2 linked regions of the Drosophila melanogaster genome follow. The protein of the gene in region 2 purifies or fractionates together with the protein of the main gene of each other region. This does not show direct contact. Each region holds a gene or a part of one and is shown on either strand. Other genes may lie near its edges. The genes, in order: CG11200 and pkm.

Evidence for each region.
Region 1: the proteins of pkm (region 2) and CG11200 purify together in Drosophila melanogaster (affinity purification with mass spectrometry, with the first as the bait; one large-scale study listed by BioGRID). This does not show direct contact.

Annotation. Positions count from the first base shown.
Region 1 is NT_033778.4:20,305,255-20,312,093, forward strand, and holds the start of CG11200 (uncharacterized protein), read right to left. Parts: upstream 3,418-6,839; 5' UTR 3,307-3,417; intron 3,246-3,306; 5' UTR 2,893-3,245; intron 1,383-2,892; 5' UTR 1,342-1,382; coding exon 1,161-1,341; intron 1,098-1,160; coding exon 990-1,097; intron 214-989; coding exon 1-213. Other genes in the region: CG13868 (uncharacterized protein), read right to left, coding at 4,319-4,492, 4,559-4,929, 4,996-5,970, 6,016-6,255.
Region 2 is NC_004354.4:11,581,571-11,588,409, forward strand, and holds pkm (pinkman), read right to left. Parts: upstream 2,606-6,839; 5' UTR 2,591-2,605; coding exon 963-2,590; intron 904-962; coding exon 624-903; 3' UTR 615-623; coding exon of another isoform or gene 469-614; 3' UTR 387-468; downstream 1-386. Other genes in the region: nod (no distributive disjunction), read left to right, coding at 1-334, 469-614, 2,736-2,926, 2,990-3,700, 3,779-3,884.

The sequences.
Region 1 (6,839 bases), on a different chromosome or scaffold from region 2:
CATCGGCGGTTAGTTTGAAGGGCGCAAACATGATGCCAGCATTGTTCAGCAACAAATCCACTTTTGAATACCGCTCCTTGATGAGCTGAGCAAATGCCTTTACGGATTTCAGATCCCCAACATCCAGTTGCTCGCAGATGAGCTTGCCCTTGGTAGCATTCAAGTCGACTATCGATGCAACTGCGGTTTCGGCAATTTTGGGATCACGAACGCCTGCAATAAATGCATAAATTAAAGTGAGCCACTGACAAAAATTGCTGAGAGGACAGAACTTAATTAATAAATATCCTTTAAAACACTTTTTTATGAGTGTTTTCTAATCTACCCTATTTTACACAAAATATAAGCAATATAAGCGACACCTAGCGCCTGTATAGCGCACTTCAAGCTCTGGTTTTTACATCTATACATTTTACATAAGTTCAATGTAGAAAATAACAGTTGACTGTTAAATGATTAAAATGTTTATTATTTTAACTAGCACTAACAATAAAATTAAATATATTTAAAAAAAAAAATGATTTCTTAATAAATGAATTTTCTTAGAGACTAAAATATGCAGTGAAATTGTAAGTAAACGTATTAAAGCAAGAAATTGGAAAAGCAACAAAAAATGCCATTTTCAAAAATGTTAACGAGAAAATACAAAATAATTATTGATAACTGTGACCCTTTTCATTGAAATTTAGAATTCTTTTCTCCGACCAGTCAATGAACTCTTATCGCTTGTCTTTCCCGAAAATCGAGACTTTTACGCGACTTGGTTAGATAATGAAATCAGGAGAATGGGTCATGATTTCTGTATCGCATTGACAAGGGTGGGAATGGATCTGCATTTCGACGATCGTTTATTCGATGTTCGATTTTAGCTTGCCGAGCACGTGCACTTGCAGCACGGTTAAATGTTTGTGGAATTCATAAGCAGATCGCCGACTTATGGATAGGAATAGGCCTGAAACAAGTTGTTGGGCGGAGATTGGTCAACTCACCCATGACGACAGTCATGTCGCAGGCCAGCAGCTTCTCCACGATCCGCAGTCCGATGCCGCGATTGCCTCCGGTGATGACAGCAATGCGGTCCGGTTGTTTATAAAGTGCTTAATGGATAATGGCAACAATTAGTGATCGTGGAATAAGCATCGGCTAGCAAATTGACTTACCCACTCGATCCCGTGCCTTATACTGGGCATCGTGGACGAGCCCAACGATTCCCAGGTACTGATACCGAAACTCAGTCTTCCACTCGAACCAGGACTTCGGGAACTCCTTGGTGGTCTTCGAAAAGAGGAACGCACACAGCAGCAGGCCGACGAAGAAAATCCACAGCAAAGTTCCCAACATTATACGCTCTTATCGGATCGGATCGCCGTCTCTCCGGAACTCTGCAAAGGGAATACGGGTTTTGATAAGAAATCGGGCAAAGTGCGCCGGCTGATAACGAAAACCGATCCTGGTTCGTCACAGACATTAGCCATTAGCCGGCAACATTATCAATATTGGCGGGTAAATTCGCCTCGAGTGCACTTTGCGAAACTCTTCAACTGAGTCAGCAAGATTTCGCGATCCGAGTGCCAGCGGGTACATCTGTTGGCCATATTCGTTTGGAATTCTAGGTGTGTTGGCCATATATACTTGCCAGAGATTGATTCGTGTCACGATTCAGCTGCGAATAGTCGAGCTTCTACAATTATCATGCCTTTATACTATCAAGTTGGCGTAACAGTAGAGAGTAACTAATCACTTAAAAATGTGGTTTAATTATAAAGCTCGAACTTTTTGTAGAATGATCTTTGCTATCAATTAAAAAGGCTTTTACAAAAGTGCTGTTTTAACGCACTAATCCTAATTCGACAGAGTAACAAGAATGATGTTTGAAATCTCAGAATTTTCACCAGGAAACCCCATTTTTGGGGATAGAAGTCTAATAATTAATAAACTTTTTAATGATATTTATCAGAGAGCGTGTTCTGAAATCGACTTGACCCCATTGGCCGTCGAATAGCTTGAGTTGTTGCCTCTTTCCCTCAGTTTTTTCTTATTTGCCCAGCAATTTCCAGCGTTGGTTAGCCGGGCTTATAAAGCTAACGCGATTGTTTGGCCACCGATATTTGCAGTGCATATTTGCCACCTGCACTTTGAGCGCTGCACTGGAATCTTAATTTTTAATCGGGCGGGGAAACAATTAAATTAATTAGACAGAAGATAGTTGAGCGCGTTTATTGGGAGACAGCGAGAGAACTGGCTTAGGTGTGCTCGTAAAATGCTAATTAAAAACCCAAACAGCGGCGGAATGAAAGTTGAAGAGCCGAGCTTCGAGCCAAAGCCAATAAACGGGGCCAAAATAGTGAATTTGGGGCCAGAGCTGAAAATGACTGAGGCGCTAAACAGCAACAACTAGGGTCGGTTTCTTTGGGCTCTTCTTGCGGGGGCAGCGGGGAAATATCTGTACGGACGACCTAGCATAGTACACTGCGAAAAACTCTTTAGTATTGGTGTAAAATATAAAAATATTTACAAATTGTACTGCGCAGAATGGTTTTCCATTTTAAGAAAGTTAAGGAAATAGAATTATTTTTCTTGAGTGAAGGTTGTTTGAAATTCTCTTAATTGCTTTATCTTTTATAATAGATTGCACTTAAAAGATAAGAACTTCACTACAAATTAGAAATAGGTTTTGTATGAATTTTTCATTTTTCACATAAAGTAATTCCATTTTTTCTGTGTGTACGCATGACACCACGAACGTGCTGTCAAGAGTTTCGACTTCCGTCAACAAAACGCAAAAGCTTAGCAGTTTTACTGTTGTTGCCGCGGTCGTTTTTAATTTGGCTGCATATGGTTAACTTTCTTTTTCTATTGTTGTTGCCCTTGCAGAGGGCTTTTCAATTTTACCTTCAATTTGGCTGACGCAGACGAAAATGCACCTGTGCCTCGATTTCTATGCTAATATTGACACCCTTTTTTTCAATTAAAGGCTGCGGCGGCGCTTCCTCGTCTTTTTGTTTTCTTTCACGTTTTCGAAGAGGATCAATCGCTGGTGTTTGAAAACCGGTTTTTCCAGCGGGCCCTTATTTTCGCCACAACCGCTCGGCGAGAAATTCAAAAGCGAACTGAACGTTAGGTTTTAATTGCGCGCCTTTCCGCCAAGAACTTGATCCACGATTGTTGTTGTTTTGTTTTGGCTTATTGCCGCTGGTCAACAGGTGAATTTTACCCACTTGCCGGCTGATCACGCAGAAAAACAGCTGATATTGTACAATTACGTGGTTATGCAATGGTTAAGCGGGTCGGTCGGCGTGTTGTTACCTTAGTGTGCACTCACAAAAACGCTGATTTGAAACAACTTAATTGAAATAACTGCAGACAAGCGAAAATCCAAGGTGGATATACATCGATGGCACCAGGGCTGCACTTTCTCTGTTTCAAAATATCGATTGTTGATGTAATCATCGATATCTGCCGTCAGTATGCATTTTTCTTTATTTTGTCCTTATTCATTTGTAAATCATAAGAAACCTGAGGTTTTTAAACAAATGTTTTTATTACAGAGAAACAGAGTTTGCGTGTGCAAAAAATACCTAAATGTTGAGCTAAGCTTATTAACAGTAACATGTCTATTCTATGTTAAGCTACTGTTACCAAACTAATCGATATCACTGCCATAAAAATATCGAAATTCAAATTTAAGGCAATAATACACCTTTAATCTTTTCATGTTAGTTAAAGTTCAAGTAAAATTATGTTTTAAGTCTCCCAACAAAATACCTTCTTTCTTTTGCTAGCTGATTTATTTATTGAACCGAAATAGTACAGTGCATTTAAGTGTTTAAACGGAAATATGTTCGTACAACAATTACAATTTATGTTTTGCCTTGATACCAGTTATAACTAATTTTGCCATTATATAGTTGCGCATAAGTATATATATAGTTTGAAATTAGAAGAACCTAAGCGAAACATTGAAGTCTAAACTTTGCGCATTTCTTTTAAATATTTTGAATAAAATTTCGTTTCGCTTTCGATTAAATAATTCAGTTGGGATTACCATATAGAGCGTGTTGTCGTGTTTATAGGTGAATAAATATTTTGAAATATATACTAGACTAAATTGAATATATACTTGAATCGTGTGTGCTGGTGTAAGAGGTGCCTATATGCTACTAAAAAGAATATTACTGTGGAAAGGACAAAGTATTCAAAGTATTCAAATAGGTTCGGAACTCTAAGTTGCAGCTGCGTTGTCAATGTCTTTTATCGCCTGTTCCTCCATCTTCGTTTCCGTTTCCGTAGCAGCGACATCCTTAGGCTCCTTTAACTGTCAATTCTCCACGGACATGTTGCCGATGTCATCGTTTATGGCCAGCACCTGGCTGATGAAGCTCTGGTCGGTGACCACCTCGGCCAGGGATTTGCACAGTTCGGTCAATTCCGGCAGCGGTATCTTCAATTGCGGCGCCAGCCTGCTAAGATGTTGACCCACATAGTCCGGCAGCTGATGGGTGATAATAACTGGGTTAGTAATGGGTAACCATTGGCTATAGCTATCAGTGATCCTTACCTTTCCCTTGCCCACTTTAAACGCGCTGAACATCAGCTTCGTCCGCACTCGCTGCTCATTGGGTCCGTCGTAGAAGATGGTGAGGTAGGCCTCCTGCCCATTGGCCACCAGCGGGAAGTAGATGCCCGCATAGACCTGACCCTTGGCATCGCGGGAGAGTAGCGATCGGAAGTTGTACACCAGATTGCGGCGCACGGTCACGTCGATGGCCGTGATGTACTCTTGGGCCACGTAGATCAGCGATGTCTTGTAGCTGGTATCCTCGCCACGGATCTCGCGCTCCTTCCACTCCACGAATTTCCCATTCTGCTGACTGTAGGCATAGCAATAATCACGCTGCAGATGCGGCTCCTTGGATTGGGTGAACCAGCCTAGAAACATATTGCATCCATCAGTATATATGTATTACAATAGGCTAAGCGGAGATTACAACTCACCAGTGTGCGGATAGCTCTGATCCTGCATAACAGTCACCGCTCGGCTGACATGGTAACCTGGGTCCAGGATCATCACACCCCGTCGATCGCCGATGGCGATGCGCATGGCGACCATGACGTGCTCCTTCTCCACACCCGCGTCCACCGAATTAAGGCCGCACTCCTCGTCCAACTGAACGTAGTCGTTGCAGTCCATCACCTGCTCCTCGCAGGACACAACGTACAAGTAGTTGGCCAGCACCGGGAACATCTGCACCATCCTGGCCATGATTTCGAACGCCAGCGAGACGCACATGTGATGGCGTCTGTTGATGGGCACATCGTAGAACTGAAAGAAGCTACGCAGATCGGAGCGACGCGTGCGCTTAAAGCTGCGATAGAAGTCAACGAAGAGGTTGACCGTATTGTAGTGCGTCTCCTCCAGCATTCGCTGCAGCGTGGTCTCCACTATTCCGTTCAGCTCCTCATACTGCCAGACATTGTCGAAGATCAGGGTGCCCTTGCCAGCGGACTCCGAGCTCGACCAGTCGGGCAGCGGCAGCGGATGACCCAGGGGCCACACTCCGTTTACCTGATTGAAGGCCTCTAGGTCATAGCCGTCGCCCACTATCCATTGAGCGCCGGAGATGCCCTCCAGAGCAGCTGCGACGGGCTGCTGTCTGGCCAACAGCTGCCTGATGTCGGAGTAACGCTCCGATCTATCCACCGATGTCAGATCGGGCGAAGGCACCAGCTCGTGGTCCTCGAGGTCCTCCTCCTCTTCCTCCTCCTCGCTGGAGGTGGAGGGTGTGCGACGAATGGCGCCAGTGCCATGTGCAGTTGGGTGCTCAGTTGCGGATAAATCAGATCGCGTCGTAGTCAATCCCAATCCCATTCCGCGCACCATCGCATCCGCCAGCTGCTGATCCGCCGGGAGCAACGGATCGTGGGCAGCGGCGGCGGCAGTGGCCTCTTCATCCTCATCCGGAGAGGCCACTCCCCCATCCTCCCGTCGGTGACTGGTGGCAACGGCGAGTCAACTCGGCCATTCGGAGCCCCAGCGGCCCACGGTGGGCACATAGCCACTTTCGCAGTCATTGAGCGTGGCGTCTAGTTGAATGTTGGCGAACTGTTGTTGGCTTGAATGCAGTGATGGTTGTTGGGCAGCTTGGCCAGCCTGGGCGGCTCCAGCTCCAGCACTGATCAGACTAATCCGGCCCTGCGCTCGCTTGAACAGGAGGTCCGGCTCGTCTCCAAATTTCGTCGTTGGTTTAGACTGATCTGTATTTCATTTGTGGAAGAAATAAGATCAAGAAAGTTGATTAGAAGATGAATTGGTAAGGAATAACAAATAATAAGAATATAGTCAGATGTGGATTACAAAGAAAAAAGGACGACAGGTGTTTGTTTTTCAGCGGAATATAACCTTTCAACATTCCTTCTTTTTATAACAAGATAAGGTAGGTTCCATTAAGTATCAATTATATAAATTCCCTCTGCTTCATCTGCTTTTCAATCTTGAGATTACGGACCCTTGACCTGCACCCTTGGTGATCCCTTTTCACTGATTAGGAAATCCCTCCAGCAATTAGCGCAAATCGCAGCTCAGCAGGTAGTTGTGCCCTTATCAAAGTCAAGTCAAATGTAATTATCCCTAGGTACGCAAAAAAACACCTCGTAACCATCTGGCTGTCTAGTACCCAGTTTTTCGAGCAGTGTGTTGTCATGAAGTCCGAGAGATGTACAGTCGCTCTGCCATCGGGCAATAAACAAATTGCCATACGACAATACAATGTCCATATACATACTACGTAAGTACTTGTTATCAACGGGAGGCAGGAAGTGGGCGGGCACTTATAAATGGG
Region 2 (6,839 bases):
CTTCCTTTGCACAGCCAGGCGGATCTGCATCACATCTTGGAGCTAGGCACTCGCAATCGACGCGTTCGTCCCACCAATATGAATTCCAATAGTTCGCGATCCCATGCCATAGTCACCATTCACGTGAAGAGTAAAACCCATCACTCGCGGATGAATATTGTGGATCTGGCCGGTTCAGAAGGCGTGCGGCGAACTGGGCACGAGGGCGTGGCCAGGCAGGAGGGCGTCAACATCAATCTGGGCCTGTTGAGCATCAACAAGGTGGTGATGTCCATGGCGGCGGGCCACACAGTGATACCATACCGCGACAGCGTCCTTACCACAGTTCTGCAGGGTAAGTGCTACGTTTTGGATCGTCTCATGCTCAATTAGTTAGTGGACCATTTGGGTTCAAGCCTTTATTGATTAGCGACTTAGTGACTACTATAAATATTGACTGCAACTTCTTGCCGTTTTCATTCTTTGCAGCCTCGCTAACCGCGCAGTCGTATCTGACCTTTCTGGCCTGCATCAGTCCGCATCAATGCGATCTCAGCGAGACGTTGTCCACCCTGCGTTTTGGCACCAGTGCCAAGAAGCTTCGGCTGAATCCGATGCAAGTGGCGCGCCAGAAGGTGAGCCATCTATATGTAATTAAAGTCCACACAGTCGAGGATCACCTCGCGTATACGCTGTTTAAATGTAGCCTCGTTGCCCGCGCCCAGGAAACCAGCTCCATGGAGATCCGTAGTGGCCCCCGCCTCGATGCGCTCGCTAATTGCCTGAAGGTCGGGCACATCCTGACCCTGCATCGTTACAATGGGTAGAACCATCATGGCGAGAAGCAGGCCCACAGCCGCTTTGGTAGCCACCTGTTCATCGAATGCAGGACGGGGAAAAAGTTGCTCCACCCGCTCGCCTAGTCTGTTGCGAACACAACAATACAATAGTTGAAGCTCTAGGATTCTTATACTTTTACTTACCTAATCAGCTGCAGGCCCAACTCTTCATAGTAATCCTCGAGCATATTTTCGAGGTGTCGCTGCCGGAATCGCCGCGAAGTGCAAGTGAAGAGGAAGTAAGCTAGATCGGTGACCGGCGAGGCATATCGCATCAGTTGCCAGTCGATCAGGCGCACGTCCTCGAGCTCGCCCCGCTCTGTACTCTTGTAGAGAATGTTGTTATTCCAGCAATCGCCGTGGCAAATAACAGCGAAGGGTTCGCAATTGAATCCGCTGACCAAAGGCAGCAGCAGCTCAAAGTACGATCCTCTGGCGAAGTACGCCTCCAGACGAACTCTGTATGCATCATCCGCCGGTGCGAGCAGTGCGGATAGGGCGCTTTCCTTCAGATTCTCGAAGTAGACCCCCAAGGCATGATCATCGCGTCGCTGCTCAAAGATATCCACCAGCTGCTGCAGTTGTTGCATTTTCTCGGGCAACTGCCGTTTCCCGGCCAATGATATAGCATGTAATTTGGCATAGGTGAGCATTACGCGACGCACATGCTCGACGGATAGGTCGAGAAAGCGATTGTGCAGTGAGAAGCCGGCACAAGACAGATCCTCCAGCACGATGCACTCGTTGGGCTCATCCTGGCGAGTTCCGAAACAGAGCGCGTGCTGCCGGAAACGATCATCTCCGATTATCTTCCACTTATCCTGAATTAACGCAGTCAGCGGCAGAAAGACCTCATATGCTGCCGTCTCGCGCAGGAAACATGGTCGTGCAAAGAATTGCTTGCGGCGCACGCGATTCTGTGGCGGCAGTTTAACCACCAGGCTGCGTTTCGAATCGGATGCCGCCTGTAGGCGCCACACCACGCCCAAATAGTTGTCGCCCTTGGCACTCGCCCTTTCCAGACGCAGTTCCGGATTGGCGCCCAGCTCTGGCCACAGCTGGCTGACCAGTTGGCGAAGGAACTGTGTAACCTGCTCGTTGGGCAGATCTTCGTCTGGCTTGGCTGTGTCCTCTTGTTGCTCTACAGGACTCTCCATCCTGTCTGGGTGCTCTCTATTCACCTCCCCATTTCGTTCATCTTCGGTGTCTTCATGTGGATCTGGTTCGGCTTCCTTCTGATCAACTTGCTCTGCTGGAGCTGCTAGGTTGCCAGTGAGCTGAATCTCACTCGCAGAGATTTCTGCTAGTTTTTCCCTGTCCGCATTCTCTGCCAGCTCATCCTTTGATTTCGCCTCAGGCTCATCATCTCCTTCCAACAACTGATCTCCAAATGTTTGATTCAACTGGGGAATTTTTTTATCAAGCTCCTCTATGCCTTTGAGCTCTTGTTTGTCGATCACTTTCGAATCAATCTCTTTGGCTAGTTGTTTTTCAATGTGCTCCACCTCAGCACCTCTCGGTTCCTCCAACTCTGCCACCAATTCCTCCTTTTTCACACGATTATCTTCTAAATCCTGCACTGCTTCGCTGTTATTTGAGTTCTCCTCCTTTGGTTCCTCAACATCAATTCGTTTAGGTGACTTCTGATCGACATCTGGATAACTTTCTGTTGAGTCTGGTGAATTTCCTTGATCGGATGCCACTTCTATCACTTCCTGACTTTGGCGATCTTTCTGCTCCCCCTCCTGCGTCTTCTCACTGGGCTGTTCCATGGCACACTACGCCACCGCCGCGAGTGTGGATCGTTTATATAGAGAAACCAAGCCGTACCGAACCGAACTCATTCCAACCGCACTGACCGCAAATCGAACGATGCAGTTACTCGAGTTTCATCCACCCATCTTGCTCTGATTGCAGCAATCGCTGGCCGCACGGACAACACACGTCTTCCGCCAAGCGCTATGCACCTCGACGGCCATCAAGTCAAACGCAGCCAATCATAATAGCATAGTGGTTCCAAAATCCAAATATAGCACAACCAAGCCGCTGAGCGCCGTGCTCCATCGAACTCGCTCCGAACTTGGCATGACGCCCAAAGCTAAGAAAAGGTGAGTAACACGGAATGGACCAAAAGCGAAGATGATCTAATCCTCCCATATCTTCCTCCATAGGGCTCGCGAGCTATTGGAGCTGGAGGAGACCACGCTGGAGCTCTCGTCTATACACATTCAGGACAGCAGTCTGAGTCTGTTGGGTTTCCATAGCGATAGCGATAAGGATAGGCATTTAATGCCTCCCCCAACAGGGCAAGAGCCAAGGCAAGCCAGCAGCCAGAACTCTACGCTAATGGGCATTGTCGAAGAGACCGAGCCCAAGGAATCGTCAAAGGTGCAACAGTCAATGGTTGCCCCCACGGTGCCCACAACTGTACGCTGCCAGCTGTTCAACACCACCATCAGTCCCATCAGTCTACGGGCATCCAGCTCTCAGCGAGAACTTAGCGGCATCCAGCCAATGGAGGAGACAGTAGTGGCTTCGCCACAGCAGCCATGCCTTCGTCGTTCCGTGCGTCTAGCGAGTAGCATGCGTTCGCAGAACTATGGAGCCATTCCCAAGGTTATGAATTTGCGGCGCAGCACGCGGCTGGCGGGAATCCGGGAACATGCCACCTCCGTTGTTGTGAAAAACGAGACGGATGCGATACCGCACCTTCGAAGTACAGTGCAAAAAAAACGTACGCGAAACGTGAAACCTGCGCCCAAGGCCTGGATGGCCAATAATACAAAATGTTTTCTGGACCTGCTTAACAATGGAAACGTTAAGCAATTGCAGGAGATTCCAGGGATCGGTCCAAAGTCCGCCTTTAGTTTGGCCTTGCACAGGTAAGTTACTTACATAGTTGGCATACCTTTATTTGCGTTTTACCCAATAACCCTTAATCCGTAATCCACATTTTTCAGATCCCGCCTGGGTTGCTTCGAGAATCTTTTTCAAGTCAAATCCCTGCCCATTTGGTCGGGAAATAAATGGGAACGATTTTGTCAAATTAACTGTCTCGACACTTGATACAATTACTAATTAAATAGCATTTTAATTCGAATATAGTATAGTGATTGTTATTTATGTGGCATATACTTTGATTTTACAACTATAGTAGGAGTAAAAAAAGGAGCCGGATATCCTAAAACAAACAGTTATATATGTGTATGTGTAATATTTCTCAAGATGTTTACTTATTTTTTGTTTTCGACTATAATTTATTTGATGATAGCTTAGACTACCTATTAAATAAGCGCTATGTAATCTAATATTTAATTGCATTTTTTGATTTAAAGTAAAATAACTTTTAGGTCAATAACAATAATAATAGGACTTTTACACTTTGACACTTTTTATTCTTGGCATATAATTTTTAGACAATATACATATATATATACATTGATTATTGAAGTCGTCGATCTTCACTCTTCGCACTCACTCAACAGGGGGATTCTATCTACGAATCCATCAGTTTCGGCCGCTTCGATTCCAGTTTAGTTAGCACTCTCTCCTGGTTGATTTGGTATATACATACATACATATTTGATATATATATGTATATAGGTATGTATGATCATACGATTAGCATACGAGATAAGCTGCCAATCCAATCCAAACACATGGCGCTGGAAATCGGCATTCCATACACATTCCTACTCTCTTTTGGCTGGAAATCTTATCCGATTTCCCTTCGCTTCAAACATCAAAATACTCTGTTTGGGTTTCCCGAGCGTTGATTCATTAATCTAGCCATGATATAACAACCAAAATAATATCAAGCTATAGAATATATTTTTTAAAGAAAAAAAATCAGTCTGCGGGCATCCAGTTCTCAGCGAGAACTTAGCGGCATCCAGCTAATGGAGGAGACAGTAGTGGCTTCGCCACAGCAGCCATGCCTTCGTCGTTCCGTACGTCTAGCGGGTAGGATGCGTTCGCAGAACTATAGAGCCATTCCCAAGGTTATGAATTTGCGGCGCAGCACGCGGCTGGCGGGAATCCGGGAACATGCCACCTCCGTTGTTGTGGAAAACGGGACGCGCCTTCAAAGTGCAGTCCAAAAGAAACGCACGCGAAAAGTGAAACCTGCGCCCAAGGCCTGGATGGCCAATAATACTAAATGTTTACTGGGCCATCTTAACAATGGAAACGTTAAGCAATTGCAGGAGATTCCAGGGATCGGTTCAAAGACCGCCTCTATTTTGGCCGTGCACAGGTCAGTTGACATACGTTCATTTGCGTTTTACCCAATAACCCTTAATCCTTAATCCACATTTTTCAGATCCCGCCTGGGTTGCTTCAAGAATCTAATTGAAGTCAAATCCCTGCCCATTTGGTCGGGAAATAAATGGAAACGATTTTCTCAAATTAACTGTCTTGACACTTGATACAATTACTAATTAAATAGCATTTTAATTCGAATATAGTATAGTGATTGTTATTTATGTGGCATATACTTTGATTTTACAACTATAGTAGGAGTAAAAAAAAAGGAGCCGGATATCCTTAAAGAAACAGTTATATATGTGATTTATTTTTTAAATAGGCTTACCTAGGATATATTATATAATATATTAAATTAACAAAACAAGTTGGCATTTTAAATTAAAGCACAAATTGATTGTTATAAAAGTATTAAACAAAAAAAACTAGTCAAAAAAGAAAAACTTTCAAATAAATGACTTATTAAAAGTGACCAAATAAATAATATTCATTAACTTTTTTTTTCAAATTTAACTCCCTTTCAGCGTTGCCAGATTGGGTTGCATGCGGGATTTGATTATTTTTATTCACAAATTCTGGGTAGAGGGCCACTTGTGCTGCTCCGGCAGCTGGTCACACTGTACAGTCGCGCAGTTTGGTTTCTTTGGTGCGAGAAGACGGTTGGTGTTGTTATTTTTTTTTTAGTTCGCTCCGCTGTTTTTAGGTGCTACGCGCTTTATGGCCCGCTCTTAATCTTATCGCAAATCAAATCAAACCGCGGCCAATGAGCACCGTAATTTCACTTTTTGGCTAACGGTAACGGCACTTCCGCTCTCCGAATTCGATATTCAAACAGTCGCATTCCATCGAAAAGCGAAACAAGAAGTGGCCGTAAAAATGACCGTGAAAACAGTGAATCGCCAGCAGAGCCAAACGCCCACCCAGCAACGGCAATTGCATCAGCAGCGGGACGTCGAGAATGGGCTCTATCCCACGATTTCGGACGGAATATGCCACATTATTATCGGATAGAATACAGGAAATGTAGGATTTAGGTAAGGGAATAATAAATTTCTAGTAGTTTTCAAGTCATTTTGGAGAGCACATAGTGGTTAATTCATGTACCATATTAATGCATGGGAAATTGGCGAAAAACAAACACTCAGCCGGCACTTCGCGGCACTCACACCTACACAATCATACGTGCGTGTGAATGAAGTTGCTTGTGCTTGTGGTGGTCTGCCCTGTTGCCGTCTTCTTCTCACCCTCGGTGAAAGTTGAGTTCGATGAATCATCTGAGCATCGATCCGCTATGGCGGCGATCTTCACTCTTCGCACTCACTCAACAGGGGGATTCTATCTACGAATCCATCAGTTTCGGCCGCTTCGATTCTAGTTTAGTTAGCACTCTCTTCTGGTTGATTTGGGCAGATTCATATATATATATGTATATAGGTATGTATGATCATACGATTAGCATACGAGATAAGCTGCCAATCCAATCCAAACACAAGGCGCTGGAAATCGGCATTCCATACACATTCCTACTCTCTTTTGGCTGGAAATCTTATCCGATTTCCCTCGCTTCAAACATCAAAATACTCTGTTTGGGTTTCCCGAGCGTTGATTCATTAATCTAGCCATGATATAACAACCAAAATAATATCAAGCTATAGAATATATTTTTTAAAGAAAAAAAATCAGTCTGCGGGCATCCAGTTCTCAGCGAGAACTTAGCGGCATCCAGCTAATGGAGGAGACAGTAGTGGCTTCGCCACA